Oryctolagus cuniculus: one gene and its partners. The protein of the gene in region 4 purifies or fractionates together with the protein of the main gene of each other region. This does not show direct contact. Links are inferred from orthologs where the notes say so. Each region holds a gene or a part of one and is shown on either strand. Other genes may lie near its edges.

The links.
Region 1: the proteins of ARPC1A (region 4) and ARPC2 purify together in Homo sapiens (affinity purification with mass spectrometry; 8 studies listed by BioGRID and IntAct, counting the BioPlex papers as one, with this or other methods). This does not show direct contact. The link is inferred for Oryctolagus cuniculus from reciprocal best matches to the Homo sapiens genes ARPC1A and ARPC2.
Region 2: the proteins of ARPC1A (region 4) and ACTR2 purify together in Homo sapiens (affinity purification with mass spectrometry; 9 studies listed by BioGRID and IntAct, counting the BioPlex papers as one, with this or other methods). This does not show direct contact. The link is inferred for Oryctolagus cuniculus from reciprocal best matches to the Homo sapiens genes ARPC1A and ACTR2.
Region 3: the proteins of ARPC1A (region 4) and ARPC5 fractionate together in Homo sapiens (co-fractionation; 8 studies listed by BioGRID and IntAct, counting the BioPlex papers as one, with this or other methods). This does not show direct contact. The link is inferred for Oryctolagus cuniculus from reciprocal best matches to the Homo sapiens genes ARPC1A and ARPC5.
Region 5: the proteins of ARPC1A (region 4) and ARPC3 purify together in Homo sapiens (affinity purification with mass spectrometry; 8 studies listed by BioGRID and IntAct, counting the BioPlex papers as one, with this or other methods). This does not show direct contact. The link is inferred for Oryctolagus cuniculus from reciprocal best matches to the Homo sapiens genes ARPC1A and ARPC3.
Region 6: the proteins of ARPC1A (region 4) and ARPC5L fractionate together in Homo sapiens (co-fractionation; 7 studies listed by BioGRID and IntAct, with this or other methods). This does not show direct contact. The link is inferred for Oryctolagus cuniculus from reciprocal best matches to the Homo sapiens genes ARPC1A and ARPC5L.

The regions. Positions count from the first base shown.
Region 1 is NC_091434.1:21,132,611-21,136,657, reverse strand, and holds the start of ARPC2 (actin-related protein 2/3 complex subunit 2), read left to right. Parts: upstream 1-1,247; 5' UTR 1,248-1,430; intron 1,431-1,647; 5' UTR 1,648-1,655; coding exon 1,656-1,729; intron 1,730-1,736; exon of another isoform or gene 1,737-3,078; intron 3,079-3,192; exon of another isoform or gene 3,193-3,975; intron 3,976-4,047. UniProt on the Homo sapiens protein: Actin-binding component of the Arp2/3 complex, a multiprotein complex that mediates actin polymerization upon stimulation by nucleation-promoting factor (NPF).
Region 2 is NC_091433.1:137,510,510-137,514,589, reverse strand, and holds the start of ACTR2 (actin-related protein 2), read left to right. Parts: upstream 1-1,280; 5' UTR 1,281-1,436; coding exon 1,437-1,484; intron 1,485-4,080. UniProt on the Homo sapiens protein: ATP-binding component of the Arp2/3 complex, a multiprotein complex that mediates actin polymerization upon stimulation by nucleation-promoting factor (NPF).
Region 3 is NC_091444.1:1,519,249-1,522,748, reverse strand, and holds part of ARPC5 (actin-related protein 2/3 complex subunit 5), read left to right. Parts: intron 1-2,303; coding exon 2,304-2,480; intron 2,481-3,500. UniProt on the Homo sapiens protein: Component of the Arp2/3 complex, a multiprotein complex that mediates actin polymerization upon stimulation by nucleation-promoting factor (NPF).
Region 4 is NC_091450.1:41,594,033-41,597,532, forward strand, and holds part of ARPC1A (actin-related protein 2/3 complex subunit 1A), read left to right. Parts: intron 1-607; coding exon 608-715; intron 716-2,402; coding exon 2,403-2,615; intron 2,616-3,500. UniProt on the Homo sapiens protein: Probably functions as a component of the Arp2/3 complex which is involved in regulation of actin polymerization and together with an activating nucleation-promoting factor (NPF) mediates the formation of branched actin networks.
Region 5 is NC_091452.1:8,108,968-8,112,467, reverse strand, and holds part of ARPC3 (actin-related protein 2/3 complex subunit 3), read left to right. Parts: intron 1-1,801; coding exon 1,802-1,878; intron 1,879-3,316; coding exon 3,317-3,385; intron 3,386-3,500. UniProt on the Homo sapiens protein: Component of the Arp2/3 complex, a multiprotein complex that mediates actin polymerization upon stimulation by nucleation-promoting factor (NPF).
Region 6 is NC_091432.1:228,725,046-228,727,972, reverse strand, and holds the end of ARPC5L (actin-related protein 2/3 complex subunit 5-like protein), read right to left. Parts: intron 2,639-2,927; coding exon 2,566-2,638; intron 2,031-2,565; coding exon 1,854-2,030; intron 1,671-1,853; exon of another isoform or gene 1,576-1,670; intron 1,027-1,575; coding exon 964-1,026; 3' UTR 501-963; downstream 1-500. UniProt on the Homo sapiens protein: May function as component of the Arp2/3 complex which is involved in regulation of actin polymerization and together with an activating nucleation-promoting factor (NPF) mediates the formation of branched actin networks.

The DNA of each region.
Region 1 (4,047 bases), on a different chromosome or scaffold from region 4:
TTATCCAAGGCCTGTACGTAAAAAAAATCTATTTTTAGAGACCAGCATTGTGGTATAGTGAGAAGAGGGTAAAGCCACAGTTTGAGACACCAGTATCCCATACGGGCACTGGTTCAAGTCCCATCTGCTCCGCTGTCCATCCAGCTCCCTGCTAATGTTCCTGGGGAAAAAGCAGAAGATGGCCCAAGTCCTTGGACCCCTGCACCCTCGTGGGAGACCCAGATGAAGCTCCTGGCACCTGGCTTCAGCCTGGCCCAGCCCTCGCTGTTGTGGCCATTTGGGGAGTGAACAAGCAGATGGAAAATCTCTCTCTCTCAAACTGTCTTTCAAATTAATAAACAAATCTGTAAAAAGAAATCTATTTTTAAAAGCTGTCTACCCCTTGACGATAAAGGCTGGATCTTTGCTCATTTTTTGGATCCAGTCCCGTCCCTACCCCACCCCACTCACCCCACCCCGCACCAGCACATAACTGAAAAAAACCATTGATGTAGAAGGGACTCAACTAAGCTTGTTACACTTCCTCTGGAGGAGGACAAATGCAAATCAAGGCACACAGGCAGAAGGTGCAGACGTGGTGTAAGGATCAGTTCAGATTCCGCAGGCAGATGAGTAGGAGCTATGTCTCCCGCGGGGGCACTGAAAGGTGAGGGTTGGAGGCAGAGAAAATTATGTTCTGCGCATCCAGGGGCAGCCCCTGGCACGGAAATGGAGGCAGCACAGGGGTCCAGGGAGGCCCATCTGAACTGCCTGTTAACCGAGGTGACTATGCATCCCTTTCCTTCGGTGCCTTTAAACAACATAACTGATCATTTGTTCATTGTGTTTCCTTTACCACAGTATAAGCTCCACGAGGGCAGGACCCTGTCTACCGTGTTCACTTCCGCATTCGCGGCTCAGGACAAGAGCCCACCATCTGTTGGGGAAATGAACGCACGATGGTGCGACGGACTGCCACCCGTCTGGAATGAGGAGGAGCCTCCACGACGCACAGGCCGACAGCAAAGAATCCTGCCGCGAGATAAGAGCGAGCTTCTTGCAGGACCCCTGACATGACAGAACCGGAAGAGTGGATTTGGAACTCTGGGACAAGCGGGAGGCAAGTTCCGGGAAGGACCGCTCGGTGGCTCGCGGAGACTTGATGGGGCGGGGGTGGGGCGCTTCAGTGGGAAAGTAAAGCGGTAGGAGGCCTTGCGCATGCGCAAGTGTGACCGCCTCGCCCCACCCCGGGCGCGCCTGCGTGCGCGTGCACGAGGGAGCCGGAGCGGAAATGGCGCCGCGGGGCCGCGCGTCCGGGCGGCGAGCGGAAGTGGGTGTGAGAGCGGAAGTGGCCGGCTAGAGCCGGGGGCTGGGCGGGGACCGGGCTTGTCGGTGAGGCGGCAGCGGTGGCGGCGGCGGCTCGGCAGGCGGGTTGAGGCTTCTGGGGCCAGGTCTGTCGGGTGGGTGGGTGTCTCCACAGTCCGTGCGTGCGCGGGCCGGCGCGCGTCCTCCCCTTCTCTCCACCCCGGCCCCTCTCCCCTCTCCCCTTCTCCCGTCACCTACCCCACCCAGCCCCCCTTCTCAGGGGGCACAGGGCCGCTCCCTGCGTCCTTTCCTCCTTTACCCACCCTGACCCGCCCTTGTTTCTCCTTCCCCTGTCCGGGGCAGCCGCCGCCATGATCCTGCTGGAGGTGAACAACCGCATCATCGAGGAGACGCTCGCTCTCAAGTTCGAGAACGCGGCCGCCGGGTGAGCGCGCGCCCCGGGGCTGGGGTTTGGGGCGGCGTGGAAGGCAGAGTTGACCCCCGCTAGTCCCCGGTGCTGTCCAGCTTCCCCCCCGGGCCTGGCGGAGGGAGTTGGGAGGCCTGGCAGTGTGTAGGGGCTGCCCCGGCGGAGAGACGTGGGAGGCGATTGGGCGCGGCGGGTGAGGGGCAGGGATGCGTGGGGTGAGGCTCGGAGGAGGGATGCGGAAGCTGCGAGTGGACCGGAGTGTGCGTGCCGAGGGCCAGGGGACCTGTGGGACGTGAGGGCAGCTCGGGCCGGAACTGGAGCCCGAGGAGCCCACTGCCCTCCGTGTCCCCGTCATTGTTCTGAACCCGGAGAGAGCCGGTTTGCGACTGGGCTGGAAGGAGTTTTCAGGAATTCCCAGGACTGGAGGAGGGAAGAAGATGCAAGCCTAGATCGCCACCGGCGTTCTCCATCCCGCCCCCACCCCTAAAGGGAGCCCGAGGGGGGACGGAAAGCAGACCCAGCCTTGCAGCCATCTCCCTAGCTTCCCTTCCCGAACCCTCCTGCGAGCGACAGGGGCCGTTCTGTTACACATGTCTCAAGCACAGCTAATAGTCCTGCACCCACACCCTTTCCTTATCTCTTCCAAGAGTGTCGGGCTCTCTCTGCAGCCTGCACCCCGCACACCCCGCAGCCTTTATCTGCCTGTTGGCCTTTTAAATTCTCATACAAGACCCCTGGGCTGTGATTTCTTCTGTGGCAATCCTTGGCCGGTTACACACTTCACTGCTTCCAGAATCTATGAAGTTCTTAGATAACCTCTTTTTTACCGTTGTCTGTGAAAGACGGGCTTTGATTTCCAAGGCAGCCTTCACTGTCAGAGAGCAGAATCAGTGGAAGACGATCAGCCGCCTCCCCCAGAGCACCTTTAAAACATGAGCCAAGGACTTGAATTCTAGCTTCGAATTTTTGGTGGCCTGTGGTCAGTCCCTTTGCCTCATTTCCGCATCCGGGACGATGGGGCTTCACATCTTGGTTGCACAGTTGAGGAAATAAGTACAAACTCTTTTTGGTGAACTGGGAACCAGTAATAGGAAAGTAAATGCTTGGAGAGCCACAGATGGGACAGGATTGGTGGAAGGGAAATTTAAGTGGTCATAATGAACTTGTGACTTGGGAGGTTTTTTGTTTGTTTGTTTTTTGTTTTTTTTTTTGTTTGTTTTTTGAGTACTGGCTCACTGCTTAAATTGAATGGATTGTGGTTCCCATCTCTTTTTTGTAAGAACACGAACTACTTTCCTTGGAAGCAGTGCATACAGTGAGCTGAACGGTTTCCTGCCAGGGCCTGCCTGCAGTTGCTGATATTTCAGGTTAACTCAGTTCTTACTCTCAGCCCCTCTTACCAGTTCTTTGCATTTTAAATACTCAAGTGACTCAGTCCGGGATCTCATTTTGGGTGATTGCTCTGTGCTTTTTCTGAGCAGTGCACTGCACATAGGAGGAAGTTGACTTCACTTCTGCATTTTCACAACTGATCTCAATGCATTCTCAAGTCCAGACTGGCCAGGAATGAGACCTGGGTGGTTATGAGCTGATCTGCAAGATAAATGGCTGTGTGTCTGCAAGTAGAAACATGCCTTTTAGTGTAAGAGTACTTTCACATCTATTTGTGTATTAATAACCTGTGATTCCAAAATGTGTGGCCCATTCAGAACTTCAGTTCTTTCTTATAATTATTTTCAAAATAGCAGTTAATCATTTCAGAGGGATTAAAATGGCCCTCAATTTGGAAGGCATAGATTAGAGCTTGCAGGACTTTTTTAATAGACAGACATTGGTGGTGAGGTTGTATGGGGGCAAGGGTTGGGGTTGGCTTTTATTCCAGCCCATCTCCCCTTTGAGATCTGGCTTTCAATACAAGAGCCCAGACCATTCTGTGGAAAGTTTCGTTGAATCTTTTGAAAAGAGGCCGAGATACTCTGTGATACTCATGCCTAGGAGGTCGGGCATTCCTGGGGTTGCAAGTACAACGCCAGCAGAACACGGTGCAGCAGAGTGTGTTCCCAGGCACCCGTAAGAGGAGGCAGCAACGAAGCTGTGTTTGTCAGGGTGCTGCCCACGAGCTCAGCCCAGGGTGGCGGGGGCGACCATCATGAACACATGGGATTCTACCAGCGCTCAGCACCAGGCAGCAACTGATGCGGCGGGAGGTCTTTCTAAGAGAGCACATTAGCAACAGAGCTAAGAGGTGCAGACATTAAAGAAAGGTAATAGCTTGGAGGAGAGCCGTGGGGGATTTAAAAGGCTTTGCCATTGTGGGAACCTGCTGAAAGAGGTCT
Region 2 (4,080 bases), on a different chromosome or scaffold from region 4:
TACTTATTTATTTTTAATCAATTTTATGTGTTGGGGTTCCAAATAAAATTAAATATGAACAAAACACTCAATGCCTTTAGAAGTGTTGAAAACCACTGGTCTAATAAAAGAACAAGGTGAAACTGATAGGCAGCTGCTACTACTATTACTAAAATAATTGGGGGGAGACGTGTGATCCAATTCTAGTTGTTGGATGTGTAGACATGTGGAAGTCACAATTTTAGTTCTCATCTCTCAAAAATGATGCAATGCTTTCTATGAGTTTTAACGTCATTCATTCAATAAATATTTGTTGTGTGTAATAAACACAATGATGTTATTCACAACTCCATGGGAAAGCAATAGCAAAGGCAGGGGTAAAGAACATCTTGGGGTACCAGCAAAGGAGTCAGAGATGGGACAAGCTTAGCATATGAGTATTAGTTTGACAACTGGTTAAAAAGAGAGAAAGTAGGGACATTATAGGTGGGGAGACCCACAGGTTCAAAAGTACAGGATTAATAATAAATGGCTACCCCTGAATGAACGTGTCCTCTAGGCACAGAATTCTATCCTCACAACAACCCACAGACGTATTACTACCATGCACAGACCAGGTTTTGTCCAACAAGACTCGTGAATGGTCGGGCCAGATCTGAAACTGGGGTTGTCTGATTTCAGAGCCCAGGTTCTGGGTTCGATCAGGCACGCGTAGTGAAGAGGGGTGAAGCAACCTGCGGCTACTGGAGGAGGAAGTGGTGGGCGACAAGGCTGCGAATGCAGGCACCTAGTCGACTGTAGACGACTCGGGAAGGCTGTGGAGGTAGCAAATGCATGAGCTCCAAGAAGTGTGGGTATATCCATCCCAGCTCGGGGCACTGAATGGGTCCAGCGGCAACGACGCACTAATTAAGCCATATTCAAGGGGGTTCACAAGGACCTCCGGGTTTGCTTCCAGCCGCCCCGGATGGCCCCTCCGTCACCCTCCACGGCCTCCTCGTGGAGATGTCTTCCACGCGGTGTCTTCCACCTTTCTGCGTCCTCCAGAGTCCGTTAAACAGCGCCCTTGATCCATGCCACACCTTAGGGAGAAAGCCGCAGCTTCCGCGACTTCCGCCGCCATTAAATCCCCACGAAACACCGAACACCAGACGCAGCTTGAGAAAGACCTGCCTGCTCCGCATCCGTGACAGCGGAGCCCTAGCCAGGCCCTCGGGCGGGGCCCCGGCGCTTCTCTGTTTATGATTGGTGCACACAGCTGCCATTCGCGGCCTTCTACGTTCCGTCCCACCCCTTCCGCGCAGGCGGTCAGCTAAATGACGGGCGGGACCGGCGAAGACTTCCGGTTGGGGGAAGAAAGTTGGGGCGAAGGAGGGGCAGTGAAGGAGGAGGAAGAGGCAAGAGCAGGGCGGCGGCGGCTGTAGGTTGTGCGACGGCGGCTCTCCTCCGGACGGACGATGGACAGTCAGGGCAGGAAGGTGGTGGTGTGCGACAACGGCACCGGGGTAAGCGCCTGGACGGGAGGCCGCGGCGGCCACAGGCCTGGGCGGGGATGTTCAGGCGTCGCGAGGCCCTCGGCGCGGCACCTCTGGGCCCTCGCGGCTAAGGGGAACGGGGCGGCACTCCCCGCTCGTGCGGGTGTCGGGAGCGAGCGGGTGGGGCGCTGGTTTCTCCAGAACCTTCCCTCCCGGTAGCCCTGCGGGTCTGGGCGGTGGGCGAGCCCGGGGCGGGACGCCGGTCCCACCTGCCGCCCGCGGGGGCCGGCTTCGTGCACAGAGAGGGGTGGGGTTTGCAATTTGGCTCGAGTGCGGAAGGGGTTAGAGGCTGGGTTCGTGTTTTGGGAGAGGGGCTGCAGCCCCAGGGTCGCGGGTGTGTAGAATGGAGAAACACCTAGAGGCCTTCCTCTTCCTGTCTAGTTGAAGATGCGGAACGCGAGGCAGGAAGTGGGCTCACTGAAGAAAAGGGAAGTGCTGTCATTCAGGGGGCTACGGCCCTTTCTCAGTGTTGCTGCATTTTGTTGATTTGCTTTGGTTTGTTGGTTTGCTTTGGTGTTATCCCTCTTTCTTCTCGGAGCGAGGAGGCGGCTAGACCAACAGCACAGCGTTTGCCCTGTGTTCTCCATGCTGGTAGTTTGGCTCAGGTGCAGCCCTGCAGAGACCAGCGTGTTCTGTTGGATGACTTTGGGGGATCTGGGACCGGCGAGCCCAAGTGTTAATCCCATTGACCTGGGGGAAGTTCAGTCCCCGCCCCCATTTTCCTCCATTAGGTTCAGAATACAGATGATGGTAGTTTTCAAATACCGTAAAAACGTAAAGCACTGATTTAGAAACCATTTGAAAGTTGCTTTAAAAACGTTTAAAAGATGCATTTTGGGTAGCAAAGTCGGCAAATGAGATGCTTACTTATTTTTATGAGTTCTGTGGTGATTGCCGAAACTATTTTTGTGTTGCAACATTTTGTGACTTTTCTCTCCTCCCTTGCGTAAATGCGACATATGACTTAAAATAGATTTTACTTGAACTTTAAAATACTTTGGAAACGGGGGAAAAAAAAAAAGCTGGTATGCATTGAGGTAACTGCCACTGCCCTGCACTGAATTTATTAGATTTTTTACAAGCAGTAATTATACTGGCTTCATCTGAGTATTTAGTACTACAGTAAGAATGTTACAATGGCGTGTCCATAGAAAACACTTTAAAAAAGGAGGCAGATGCACTGCTATGGAGATGTATCTAAAGACAGACTTACTGTTAAATTACAGACAAGTTTATGATTCCACTTACGTGAGTGTTCTTCATTAAAAATACTTACCTGTCCACAAACTTCTGCCTGTGTGTTGAAGTTTTGGTGGGAGACATAAGAAATGGTGCCTGTGAGACAAGGAATAAGGGAGTTAAGAAAGACAGGGAAAACTTCACAACCCTTCTGAATTACTGGGAAAATGTTTCTTAAAGCAGATGTTGCTAAACTATATTTAAATGAAGTCAACTATAAACATGTTATTTTTACAATTAATACTCAGTTAAAGATGCTTTTAGAAAAATATTAGCTTGATTTCCATTTTAGTCTCAAGTTCTAAGAAAATTTAAAAATTTAAAGCTTTAAAAATTAAATTTAAAATACTTTGTTTTGTGACTGTCAAATACTTTTAGAAACTCTATCCAATAATATTTATATGGATTCCTCTGAGTGGCTCTAGATAAAGAATCCTTTATGTATTTATAGAATATGGGAGCTTTTGATGTTAGAATGGGAATGTTAGCCATAGCTAATTTTTATGTTACTATTTTGTTTAGCTCACATTAAAAAGCTGATTGTGTATATTGTCAGTTAGTCTTGTATCTAGTTCATAGTTTAAAAATCCTGTTCCTTAACACAAAAGATGAGTTATTGCACAAATGAAAAAAATATAGTTAATCCAAATAAAAACTGATGTGTTTGGTGTTATGCTTCTGATTAAAGTTTTGTCTAGGTTTTTTTATAGATATGATTGATTTCAAAGAAGAAACAGTTTTGATAAAGTATGTCAGAGGTGCATTTGGTACCTTGTTCAGGCCACTGCCTGGGTTGCCTGCATCTCACATCTTAGTGCCTTGGTTCAAGTCCTAGCTCTACTGCTGATACCAATTCCTGTTGGTACACAACTGGGAGGCAGCAAGCAGGTGATCACCCAGGTAATTGGGTCCCTGCCATCCATGTTGGAGACCTGGAGGGGTTCCCAGCTCCTGGCTTCCATCCGGCTGAGACCCAGCTGTTGGGGGCATTTGGGAAGTGAACTAGTGAAGTTTTCTCTATCTGCCTTTCAAATATATAAACTTTTTTTTTTTTAACAAAGTGAACCATATGACAGGAATGCTGTGATGTTTCTGAAAATTTACACATCTGGAAACCTCTTAGATTGTATGTGTGTGTGTGTTTACTACTTCTAGACATGAAGAGTTGCCTTGATTTTATTTAGGTATCTGAAGTTATAATTATTCTTCTAAAATTAAATGTTAAAGAAGATACGGAGGCCGGCACTGTGGTATAGTGGGTAAAGCCATTGCCTGCCGTGCTGGCATCCCATATGGGCACTCGTTCGAGTCCCAGCTGCTCCACTTC
Region 3 (3,500 bases), on a different chromosome or scaffold from region 4:
GGGGAGGAGGTGACCTTAGATGTGCTGTGTGTGACAGGGGAGGAGGTGACCTTAGGTGTGCTGTGTGTGACAGGGGAGGAGGTGACCTTAGGTGTGCTGTGTGTGACGGGAGGAGGTGACCTTAGATGTGCTGTGTGTGACAGGGGAGGAGGTGACCTTAGATGTGCTGTGTGTGACAGGGGAGGAGGTGACCTTAGATGTGCTGTGTGTGACAGGGGAGGAGGTGACCTTAGATGTGCTGTGTGTGACAGGGGAGGAGGTGACCTTAGATGTGCTGTGTGTGACAGGGGAGGAGGTGACCTTAGATGTGCTGTGTGTGACAGGGGAGGAGGTGACCTTAGATGTGCTGTGTGTGACAGGGGAGGAGGTGACCTTAGATGTCCTGTGTGTGACAGGGGAGGAGGTGACCTTAGATGTGCTGTGTGTGACAGGGGAGGAGGTGACCTTAGATGTCCTGTGTGACAGGGGAGGAGGTGACCTTAGATGTGCTGTGTGACAGGGGAGGAGGTGACCTTAGATGTGCTGTGTGTGACAGTGGAGGAGGTGACCTTAGATGTGCTGTGTGTGACAGGGGAGGAGGTGACCTTAGATGTCCTGTGTGTGACAGGGGAGGAGGTGACCTTAGATGTCCTGTGTGTGACAGGGGAGGAGGTGACCTTAGATGTCCTGTGTGTGACAGGGTAGGAGGTGACCTTAGATGTCCTGTGTGACAGGGGAGGAGGTGACCTTAGGTGTGCTGTGTGTGACAGGGGAGGAGGTGACCTTAGATGTCCTGTGTGTGACAGGGGAGGAGGTGACCTTAGATGTCCTGTGTGACAGGGGAGGAGGTGACCTTAGATGTGCTGTGTGTGACAGGGGAGGAGGTGACCTTAGATGTGCTGTGTGTGACAGGGGAGGAGGTGACCTTAGATGTGCTGTGTGTGACAGGGGAGGAGGTGACCTTAGATGTGCTGTGTGTGACAGGGGAGGAGGTGACCTTAGATGTGCTGTGTGTGACAGGGGAGGAGGTGACCTTAGATGTGCTGTGTGTGACAGGGGAGGAGGTGACCTTAGATGTGCTGTGTGTGACAGGGGAGGAGGTGACCTTAGATGTCCTGTGTGTGACAGGGGAGGAGGTGACCTTAGATGTGCTGTGTGTGACAGGGGAGGAGGTGACCTTAGATGTGCTGTGTGTGACAGGGGAGGAGGTGACCTTAGATGTCCTGTGTGACAGGGGAGGAGGTGACCTTAGATGTCCTGTGTGACAGTGGAGGTGACCTTAGATGTCCTGTGTGTGACAGGGGAGAAGGTGACCTTAGATGTGCTGTGTGTGACAGGGGAGAAGGTGACCTTAGATGTCCTGTGTGACAGTGGAGGAGAGCAGAAGGTGGCTTTTGGAGCAGCTTTTCCAGAAAACACGGCTGTGTAATGAACGCCATTGTACCTCGCGTGACTAGCGGCTACGGGCCGTGAGACAGTCTCTTAAAATTTCAAAATAAGGAAGTGTTTAAAGTATTTCTGGGGGTTGGCGCTGTGGCTCACTTGGCTAATCCTCTGCCTACAGTGCCGGCATCCCATATGGGCGCCAAGTTCTAGTCCTGGTTGCCCCTCTTCCAGGCCAGCTCTCGGCTGTGGCCCAGGAGTGCAGTGGAGGATGGCCCAGGTGCTTGGGGCATGCACCCGCATGGGAGACCAGGAGAAGTACCTGGCTCCTGCCTTCAGATCAGCGCAGCGTGCCGGCCGTGGCGGCCATTTCGGGGGTGAACCAACAGAAGGAGGACCTTTCTCTCTGTCTCTCTCACTGTCTGTATCTGTCCAAAAAAAAAAAAAAAAGTATTTCTGAAAGATGATTCAAGGAAGAATTGCAAATCAGTTTTCTTGTTGTGTTTTCGTTGAGATAAAATGCAGTTGATGTTTTAATAAATTGTCAGATCGCTGTGGGCTCTGCCTGTGGACTGTCTACCCTCGGGCCCTGCAGTGCTAAGCGACACAGCCTGTCCACCCTGTCTGCCCTCGCTCCCGCCAGCTCTCCCTGCTCCTGCCGGTGCTCTCAGACCCTCCTCGTTCTCGGGGGGGGGGGGGGGGCGCCGGTCGCATGAGCCTCCTCTCCGCGCCCCTCTGGCTCCCCGCTGCGGTTCTGCCGTAGGCCCTGGGCACACTGGCAGCACGCGCCCCCTCTGGGCCTGACTGCTTTCCTGAGACACCGCGCTGTCCTGTTCCCGCCTGCGGGCCTCCGCCCGGGCTCCCCTCCCCAGCATGGCCCCCCCTGCGCAGGTGCAGCCGCACACTCAGGAGTCACTCTGTTGCCTCGTGTGTTCCCCCAGGACCGGGCAGGCAGCATCGTGCTGAAGGTGCTCATCTCCTTCAAGGCCGGCGACATAGAAAAGGCCGTGCAGTCCCTGGACAGGAACGGCGTGGACCTGCTCATGAAGTACATCTACAAGGGCTTCGAGAGCCCCTCCGACAACAGCAGCGCCGTGCTCCTGCAGTGGCACGAGAAGGTGAGCCCCGCCCGTCCGCCGCAGGCCCGTGCTCGGCCGTGCACCTGCGCACTGCCAGTGACGTCCGTCAGGGTGGGAATGAGAGTGAGGCGTCCTAGCCTGGCCTTCTCTTAGCACCGGGGTCTGATTTCCACACTTAAATTTATCCAGCAAACATAATCCTGAAGTTTGAAATCTTAAAACTTTGTGAAAGAAAGAAAGCAAGCAATAGAAACCATGAAGTGTTTCCTCTGACTGTGGTGGGTACAGCCCAGGGCGCGTCAGCAGAGGAAGCGTCTGTCCACGCGGGGGGTGGATGCCATGATGACGGCTGAGTGCCCGAGGCGCGTCTGTCCACGTGGGGGGTGGACGCCATGATGAGGGCTGAGTGCCCGGGGTGCGTCTGTCCACGGGGGGTGGACACCATGATGAGGGCTGAGTGCCCAGGGCGCGTCTGTCCACGTTGGGGGGTGGACGCCATGATGAGGGCTGAGTGCCCGGGGCGTGTCTGTCCACGTGGAGGGGTGGACGCCATGATGACGGCTGAGTGCCCGGGGCGTGTCTGTCCACGCGGAGGGGTGGACGCCATGATGAGGGCTGAGTGCCCGGGGCGTGTCTGTCCACGCGGAGGGGTGGACGCCATGATGAGGGCTGAGTGCCCGGGGCGTGTCTGTCCACGCGGAGGGGTGGACGCCATGATGAGGGCTGAGTGCCCAGGGTACATCTGTCCACGTGGAGGGGTGGGTGCCATGAGGGCTGAGTGCCCAGGGCGCGTCTGTCCACGTGGAGGGGTGGGTGCCATGAGGGCTGAGTGCCCGGGGCGCGTCTGTCCACGCGGGGGGTGGACGCCATGATGAGGGCTGAGTGCCCAGGGCGCGTCTGTCCACGTTGGGGGGTGGACGCCATGATGAGGGCTGAGTGCCCAGGGCACATCTGTCCACGTGGGGGGTGGACGCCATGATGAGGACTGAGTGCCCGGGGCGTGTCTGTCCACGCGGAGGGGTGGACGCCATGATGAGGGCTGAGTGCCCGGGGCGTGTC
Region 4 (3,500 bases):
CTCTGTAACTCTGACTTTCAAATACATAAATAAATCTTTTTAAAAATTGCATATTTAAAAAAAAGATTCAAGCTGTCCTAGCACACACAACGGGTGGTATTTGGGGTCGGGCTTAATTGAACATCCAAAGGGAGTGGAGGGTGGGGCAGGGCCTGATTGCCGCCCACTTCTGTGCCCTTTTTTGGATATATTGGAAGTGTCATGGCATGAGGTACGTGATGGGAATGGGAGTGTCCCCCACGGTAAGTAATTTGATTATAGTGACATTGTAATGGTCCACAGATGTTTGACCGCATCCTGCAGCCATATTGGATCGTTCCAGCTGGTGCTGGTCCTAGATTTGCAGCGTTGGGAACATGGAAGATAAGATTCAGGGGCATGGAAAGGAAAGGGGACTTGGGTGGTACATCTCGGGCCATCACTCGGGCTGTCCTGCCGGAAGTCGGCAGAGCTGTCACACACTGTGCAGGTTGGCTGGGGCTAACCTCAGCTCCTCTCTCCAGCTGCCTACCTTCCCACGTCATTTAGACGTGATACACATCTGTAGATTGCTTGGGGACTGTTGCTTGATGTGTAGATAAGCTATAATGATTTTCTCCTCTTGCAGGTGGGTAAGCAAACACATTAAAAAGCCAATACGCTCCACAGTCCTCAGCCTGGACTGGCATCCAAACAATGTTTTGCTGGCAGCAGGATCGTGCGACTTCAAATGCAGGTGGGCATGAGGGGAAGCTGATGGACTTGCTGAACATTGCTCCTCCTTCAGCGGGCACCGTGAGGGGCCCACGTGACAGGAGCTCGTGGTCCAGAAAAGGAGCCGTGCACAGGGACTAAAGCAGCGAGTGTGCACGTCACTGATGTCACTGATGAGGAAGGAAGCGGATGTGGAAGTGGGGGAGGAGGGAGATCAAAGGTGGGGCGGGGACAGCTTCCCTGGGCAGAATGTCCGTGGTTTCCAGTGTAGGGATAGGACGTGCAGACATGCTCTCTGTCGGTCTCTCTCTGTCTCCCTTCCTCCCCTTTTCTTCCTGTATGGCTCCTCTACAGCGTTATTTCTCCTTTCATACTCCAGGCAACAGAGTGCAAATTCCAGAGTGAAACTAAGATGAACAGAACAGAGCCAGACAGTGCACTGCTGAGCGGTTCCTGTGCTGTGCTGTCCTTGTCCTGGAAACGTGTTTGTTGTTAGCCTGAGGCTGGAGGCGAGGCAGCCACTTTGCTAAGAGCTTTAAGGGTCCTGTCGGGTAATTGCTTTATCAGGAAGGCCTTTCCGCCCACCCGTTAGCTGAAGAAAAGCACGGAGACGATGCCTCAGGTGGACTGGACTCCAGGGTGGGCGGGAGATAGGACACACCCTGAACCTGGCCGTGACTTGTATCCAGGGATTCTCAGGTTTTCAAACAGTTCCACGTGTGAGTGGTTCCAGGGGTGGGATTATGGTGGTGACAGTTCACTTCATATTCTGCGGTTTTGTTGGTGGTGATCTCTCTGCCAGAGTCCTTCTGACTCCCTTAGAAAATGGGAGGAGGTGGCACTGAACCCACCGTGTGGATTCTTGGGATCGACTGAAACGCCCGGTGAGGGAATAGGTTGCAGTCTTGTTGAGATCGATTTCCACAAATGGAGCTGCTTTGACACGGTCCTGTGGGGCCTGTGGGGCCTGTGGAGCCCGTGGGGCCTGTGGGGCCTGTGGGGCCTGTGGGGCCTGTGGGGCCTGTGGGGCCTGTGGAGCCCGTGGGGCCTGTGGGGCCTGTGGGGCCTGTGGGGCCTGTGGGGCCCGTGGGGCCTGTGGGGCCTGTGGGGCCTGTGGAGCCCGTGGGGCCTGTGGGGCCTGTGGGGCCTGTGGAGCCCGTGGGGCCTGTGGGGCCTGTGGGGCCTGTGGAGCCCGTGGAGCCCAGGACCACAGGTCCCTTCTCGGCGCTCGTGACAAAAGCGCTGCTGTTGTGATGCTGATGGGAAACGCAGATGCGATCCTGGCAGCATGTGACAGCATGGCGTTAGACTGACAGCTGACGCGCCAGCCTCGGCCCGTCTCATGCTGTGTGTCTCCCAGAGCTCCCACTGTCCTTGTCATCTGGGGTGGCGGGCACCCCCGTTCTTGTGGGAAGTTTTCAGGTTCAGAGGGGGTGAAATGCACACAGCAGCAGAGCATTGGTGGGCAGAGGGCCAGATTCCTTTGTCCCTTTCCCTTTCACGGAACAAAGAGAGAGAATTTGAAAAAGCCTGGTGACACCTGACTGTAGGACCCACCTTCGTCACAGAGGGTTCCGGCCACGGCGCCGGCCAGCACTGAGAGTTCTAATGAGTCAGCCTTGGGGTTCTGAGATACTTAGAGTGGCCTATTTGTATATACATGTATCTTCATCTTCTTTTTCCTTCCTTCTTTGCCCTTTGAATCACAGGGTGTTTTCTGCCTACATTAAAGAAGTGGATGAAAAGCCAGCCAGTACACCCTGGGGCAGCAAGATGCCTTTCGGCCAGCTGATGTCAGAGTTTGGGGGCAGTGGCACTGGTGGCTGGGTCCACGGGGTCAGCTTCTCTGCCAGTGGAAGCCGCCTGGCCTGGGTCAGCCACGACAGCACCGTATCCGTGGCCGATGCCTCAAAAAGCGTGCAGTGAGTATTTGCCTTTTGTTTGGGAGGTGCAGGCAGTGGGTGGGATTTCTCGCCCACCAGGCTGGGGCTGCCTCTGTCTGGTTGTACACACGGGACACAGGCATAGGAACCCCAGTGCAGTGTGCCAGGCAGCCTTGCAAGGTACACACACCCCAGCCTTAGATGAAACAGGACGTGTGTTCTTACCGCGTGCGGTCAGCCAGCAGTGACTGTTCATGGGGGCTCCCCACTTGTGTGTGCCGGAAGAACTGGAGGTGTGATGACTCACGGGTGACGGGGAGCCGCTCTGCCGTAGGCACCTCGTGGGGCATCGCAGCTCACGTCTGCTCACCTCGCGTCAGGGCGGGGGCGTTGGGATGCCTCTCGCCCTGTGACTGCCCTCCCTGGGGTCTTGGGTGTCTAGGGCCAGTCCCGCCGGGTGCAGCACAGACATGTTTCAGGGATGATGGCTTCTTCCTAACTGAATTGAATGTAGTTTTTTGGTTAATTTCATGTTTGTTTTTTTAAAGATATTATTATAAATGTGGTCTTCCAGAAGATTTCTGTACATTTCTAGGTTACATCTTTTTTCATTTTTTTCTAAAATGAGTACTTTATTAAAGTTTATTTTTTTGAGAGATGAGAACTCCCATCCACTGGTTTACTCCCCAAACGCCCACGAATGTCAGGGGCCAAAGCTGGAAGCCGGGAACTCAACCCCGGTTTCCCCCATGGGTGGCAGGAGCCCCACGGCTTGACAGGCTGGAGATTGCCGAGGGCCTCAGTTTCTGGGGGTCACCCCAGGGCCGCCTTGTGCTTGAGATTCCTGCGAGTCGAGGTCACGGGGCTCCTGGGTCAGCAAGCGTTCACTGGTGCTGTGGGGCCCCCCGGAGAACGGGCGCTTTG
Region 5 (3,500 bases), on a different chromosome or scaffold from region 4:
TCTCTCTCACTGTCCGCTCTGCCTGTCAAAAAAAAAAAAAAAAGATACTCATTGAACTCCAGACACGCTCTCAAGATAAAAATCTTGGGCTGACACCAAGGCTCAACAGGCTAATCCTCCGCCTAGCGGCGCCGGCACCCCGGGTTCTAGTCCCGGTTGGGGCATTGGATTCTGTCCCCGTTGCCCCTCTTCCAGGCCAGCTCTCTGCTGTGGCCTGGGAGTGCAGTGGAGGATGGCCCAAGTCCTTGGGCCCTGCACCCCATGGGAGACCAGGAGAAGCACCTGGCTCCTGCCTTCGGATCAGCGCGGTGCGCCGGCCGCAGCGCACTGGCCACAGCAGCCATTGGAGGGTGAACCAATGGCAAAAGGAACACCTTTCTCTCTGTCTCTCTCACTGTCCACTCTACCTGTCAAAAAAATTAAATAAATAAATAAATAAAAGGATAAAAATCTTAAGGGGTCGGCACTGCGGCATAGTGGGTAAAGCCACAGCCTGCAGTGCCAGCATCCCTTAAGAGCACCGGCCCCTGCTCCTGTATGGGAGACCCAGATGAAGTTCCTGCCTCTTGGCTCCTGGCTTTGGCCTGGACCAGCTGGCTGTTGCGGCCATCTGATGAGTAAACCAGCAGGTGGAAGATTCTCTCCTTCTCCCCTACCCCCGTAACTCTTTCAAATAAATCTTTAAATAAAAAAACAACAACAAAAAAAAAACCTGGTGCTGGCGCTGTGGCATAGTGGGTAAAGCTGCCACCTATAGTGCCATATGGACACTGGTCCAAGTCCCGCTGCTTCACTTCCGATCCAGCTCTCTGCTGTGGCCTGGAAAAGCAGTAGAAGATGGCCCAAGTCCCTAGGCCCCTGACCCCACATGGGAAACCCAGAAGAAGCTCCTGGCTTCAGATTGGCCTAGCTCTGGCTGTTGGCAGCCATTTGGGGAGTGAACCTGCAGATAGAAGTCCTCCCCCGCACCCCCCCCCCCCACCTCTCTCTAACTCTGTCTTTCAAATAAAACAAATCTTTTTTTTTTGGACAGAGTGGACAGTGAGAGAGACAGAGAGAAAGATCTTCCTTTTCCATTGGTCACCCTCTAATGGCCACTGCAGCCGGCACACCGCGCTGATCCGAAGCCAGGTGCTTCTCCTGGTCTCCCATGGGGCGCAGGGCCCAAGCACCTGGGCCATCCTCCACTGCACTCCCGGGCCACAGCAGAGAGCTGGCCTGGAAGAGGGGCAACCGGGACAGAATCCGGTGCCCCAACCGGGACTAGAACCCGGTGTGCCAGCGCCGCAGGTGGAGGATTAGCCTATTGAGCCACGGCACTGGCCAAACAAATCTTAAGAAATAAAAATTAACTACATACTTTATTTTCTAGAAATTGTTTTACAGGTTTTATTTTAATAGCTTCATTTAAAAAAATTTTTTTATTTGAAGTGCAGAGAGAGATTTCCCATGTGCTGTGTTTCATCTCCAAATGCCTGCAGCAGCCAGGACTGGGCTAAGCCAAAGCCAGGAGCCTAGAATTCAGTTCTGGTCTCCCTTGAGGGTAGTAGGGACCCAGCCGCTCCCGGGAAAAGGCAGGGAGCAGAATGGAGAGACACAGGCCTTCTGATACAGGATGTGGGCGTCCCAAGCAGTAGCTAACTGCTGTGCCACGTATGTGCTCCCTGCTTTAATTTTATTCACCTATAGAATTGTTGACAGTTGATCCTGGATTTATTTTTTTTATGGTTTTTACAGGCTAAATTACAGTTTGCAGTTGACTGATTTTTTCTTCCCTCCTTCCCCTTGTTATCCTGCTTAGCAAAAGATACGGATATTGTGGATGAAGCCATCTATTACTTCAAGGCCAATGTCTTCTTCAAAAACTATGAAATTAAGGTAAATGACAGAGCTTTTAATATTTCACTTTAATTTTCTGATTAGGGTAATCTCTACACTGCAATGAGTTGCCATGAAGAGAAAATGCGATGTGAAATTGTGATTCTTAAATTCTAGAACACTGTCTGGTATTAGATTCTGTGAAGATACTGGTTTCTTTTTCTTCCTCCAAAGTCTGTACCAGGGTTGACAGACTACAGCCTGAGGACTGAATCTGGCCCATGGCTTCTCGTAAATAAAATGTCATTGGAACACAGCCTGGCCCTCAAAGCCTAACTTGTTTGGTTTCTGGCCCTTTGTAGAGAAAATTTGCCAATTCTGGTGTAAAGACATTTTAGCATTAATTTAGCACCTACTGTGTGCCAGGCCTGGTGGGTAGCATTAGCCCACAAGTGAGAAATCCTCCTGGCTGTGTAATTTTGTTAGTATACGTGTGTGCCCTGAACCTGAGAAGGGGAAGTAGAGACTTGAGCGACCCTGGTCCTGCCCCACTCTCCCCTCTCTCCTCAGTTCCTGTGACGAGGGAAGGAAGGGGAGGGTCACGGACGAGGAGGAGGGAAAATGGAAACCAGGTTTCCTGAGCTCTGCTCTCCAGGTTACCAGGAACGGCGGTGAGATGAACTTCAGCCTCCTCCTTGCCAACTTTGACCTTTTGAAATCAAGCAGGATGTAAAATCTTTATTTATAGATTCCTGATCTATAAATTGTAGTCCAAACATTTTGTGATATTAACAGAGTGTTTTCTTTGTCAAATACATGGCCCACATGCTGTGTTTGTAGTAGGTGTAAATAAATATTATTCTACCACACTTTATTTCCTGGTCTTAAAAACAGGGAAACGTGTAGGTTTCTTTTTGTTTTTTCAGCTATAAATACGAGCAAAATGTGATCTCACGTCTGCCACATTGGATCAACATCCGTTCGTCTTCTCCACTTCTCCTTTTGCTTAGCTCAGGACGCCAGGCTTAGGGAGTTCTTCAAGAACATGTCACACGTGAAGTAATTGCTTCCTCTTTTAGAGTAATGAATGTTTCTGTTCTTGGCAGAGATCCTGAAATGAAAGGGTTTTTAAAAATTGGCCAGCCATATGGTGCACCTCAGGTTATTCAGGCAGCCTTGTTCATTCTCCTTCCTACGCAGGGTGAGGGGCTGTTGGCACAGCTCCCCGGGACCGGGGGTGAAGGGAGCTGAGAACAAGAGCCTCCACAGAGCTCGGGTGGAAGCCCTGGCCCTGCCCGCGTGCACAGAGGGAAGCCTGACTGGGAGAAGGGGCCTCGTGTGCCGCAGCAGTATATGTGTGTGCCCTGAACCTGAGAAGGGGAAGTAGAGTCCAGGCTTTCAGTAGATCATCCGGAGATGAAGATTGATTCCATTTGTTGGACGGAACTGCTAGGTTTTCGTCTGTACTGTTTGCTGAATGTTCTTTTCCTCTCTGTAGAATGAAGCCGACAGGACCCTGATATATATAACTCTCTACATCTCTGAGTGTCTAAAGAAACTCCAAAAGGTAATGGATTAAGCTCGGGAGAGTGCCGACAGTTGTTTATACTCCCAGTCGTTTTTTGTGTGTCGCGACTCCAAGGACAGCTAGGAAATACTCCCTTAGACTTGGACATGATCTG
Region 6 (2,927 bases), on a different chromosome or scaffold from region 4:
CACCCTGGGAGGCGGAAGCGATGCTGAACAGTTGTTGAGTCCTGGCCACCCCCGTGGGGGCCTGCATTGAGCTTGGGCCCACGGCAGGACTTGGGAGTGAAGCAGCAAATGGAAGCTCTCATTCAGCTTCTTTCTCCCTCTCAAATAAATACTTAAAGAAAAGAAAACCTGCTGATGCTTCACGCTGCTGCTGCACCCAGCAGAGCCGGAGCTGGGAACCAGGGGTGTTCAGGCCCACCCTCAGCGCAGACCAAGTGTAGTCACAGACTGAAGACCTGACTGATCATCAAATGCCTGGCTCTGCATTCGCTTAAGTGAGCTCCAGAGTGACACCCAGGTCAAAGGAGTGAGGAACAACAGTTACTGAGCAAACCTCTCAGCCGAGGCTCGCAGCGGCCAAGCAGGGACACTCTCGAGCCCGTCCAGAGTTCCTGGAACAGCCAAACTCTCTCGTTCCCATCCCATCCCACCCTACCTTTCAGAGACAAGACACCGCGATGTGTATACTAAGAAGCCAAGAGCTTTATTGATGCAGCAGGCACTTTACAACGAACCCGAGAGCCCACCTTCCCGGGAGGTCAGGGGTCTGTACAAACTCGGGTTTTCCCACAAGCTGTCCCTTTCACCACAGCCCTTGGGTCTGCACCTGCCCAAACCATCCCTCCCCCAGCCTCAGCCAGCAGCACGCACAGCTCCACCTGACCAGTGCTGGCCAGCCTCTCTGTCCGGTCCCAGTGCCCGTTCTGCAGTACTGTGTAGACGAAGGCAAAAGAGACGATCAGGTCCTGCAGAGGATTTGGGAAACAGACGATTTCTCCCTCCACCTTGAAAATAAAATACACTTCAGCGGCCACGAGTCCTGGAAGAGTCGAGTCGGGCGCTCCTAGGAAGGTGGTCCATTGTCAGTCCCTTCTGCACCGGCCTGGGCATCCAAAGTTCTCGAGGTAACAAGTCCTTTGACTTTTAAACAGTCTTTCTTGCTGTAAGAACTCTAATAATGGAGCCTAGTCCTCCTACTGCTAAGGCCTGCGGAGCAGGAAAAGGAAATGTGTCAGGTGAGACCTGGCTGGCCACGACGGGCCCACGCCCCCCAGCCTGACCGCATGTGCCGACCCTCGGAGAAAGGACTCCTGCGACGTGACCACCGCCTCCGGCAGCAGGAGTGGCCCGGGCCCAGGCACCGTGCACGCCCGGCAGAGCCACAGTTCCTCTCTCAGCAAGTCCCTCGCTTCCAGGCTGCCAGCGCTGCCCGAGGCACAGGAACGCACACCGGCCCACTGGAGTGGCCTCCACACCGCGCAGGGGGACTGCTCGCCCCGCCCCCAGCGCCTGACCCCTGTCAAGGGGGCATGCGGGGCAGGGCAGTGGGCACGCAGGCCTGACGGAAGGCACCCAGGTGAAGAGCGGCAGGCGGACGAGGCCATGGTAAATGACTGTCGTGTTTGCTGCCCACTGCACGCTCTGGCCTGCTGAGGCCGGGGCCAGAAGCCCTCCAAGCTGGCGAGGAGGCTCAGCCTTCATCCTAGGACCACCCCACTCACCCAGCAGTTGACTCCACCAATGCAAAGAAAGTACCATGACGCGCCAGCCAGCCAGGAAGCATCCCTGCCACTCCACACCACGCCTGGTCACCTGCACCCATGGCACACAGCAAGGGCCCCCTGTCCTGCCTGGCACAAAGCAGCAGCTATAAAGTGAGTGTACCAGAGACAGCAGAGCCCGACCAGGTGCTTCCCTGGGAGGGGGAGGGGACCAAGGGTCCCAAGTGGAGGCTTGGCCCCGGCTCTCGCAGGGCGCCTGCTGAAGCCCGGGGTGAGGCAGGGGCTGGGCACGGGGCCGGCATGTCCACGTACCTTTTCATGCCACTGAAGCAGCACTGCACTGCTGTTTTCCGTGGGCTTCTCAAACCCTTTATAAATGTACTTCATTAACAAGTCGATGCCGTTTCTGTCCAGAGACTGCACCGCCTGCTCAATTTCGCTGCTTTTGAAGTTAGTGAGCACCTTCAGCACCACGCCCTGGGCTCGCTCCTGCAGAGGAAAGAGCGCGCGTGAGGCCCAGAGCCACAGCCGGGCCCATCCTTGCCCCACTGTAGGCACAAGTGGGAGGAGCTCGCCAGAAGCACTGCCCAGTTTCTAACTCGATCTAGGATCAGACAGCTTTTTAAAAAAAGTGGGCTAAGATTCTCCCACTGGCTCAGAGTACGCAGTACTGCCTGTCGATGACCGAGTAACTGAGTTCCTCCACTTCCCATGGAGGAGGTGCTTTCCTGGGCAGGCGCCAGCAAGGCGCGAGGCCCCACAGGATCGGACGGTGGAGGAGGAGGTGCCCCTTCGAGAACACAGGCTGACTCGCTGCGGCCCCCGTCAAGACCCACGTCCCGGCATCGAGGAGGCCGCAGCCAGCAGTGTAATCTGTCCTCTTTCCAGGCCGTGTGAACAGGACTCTGAGAAGCCGTAAATTCCCTGTGCATTCAGAGCCCACAGAAGCAGAACAGGGCCAAGTCCCCGGAGGGAGGCCCTCGGGAGCTGCACACACTGACGGGGCCCTGCCCCGCCCCTTTACCTTCACAGCCTGGTTCTTGGTGTTGACCGGAGAGTTCCGCAAGGCGGCGTGGAACGCCCGAAGCATGTCCCCTGTGCACCAGCATCCGTTAAGGTCAGCCAGGCCAAGCGTGTCCGCGCGCACCGTGGGCCCAATCCGAACCGCTCCGGGGCGCTTCACGAGGATCCCGAGGCCCAGCTGCTTCACAGCCTGGAGCTGCCTGAGCCCCAGGCAGCGCCTCTCTGCCTCCCCACAAAGCAGCTGCCCCTAAGGGCCAACTGCAGTGAGGTCCCAGGGGCCCCGCCCAGCGCCCCACCTGCCCCCACCGGGCACTCACAGGCCTCTCTCATCTCTCTACAAAGGGAAGCAGGAAGGCACAACCG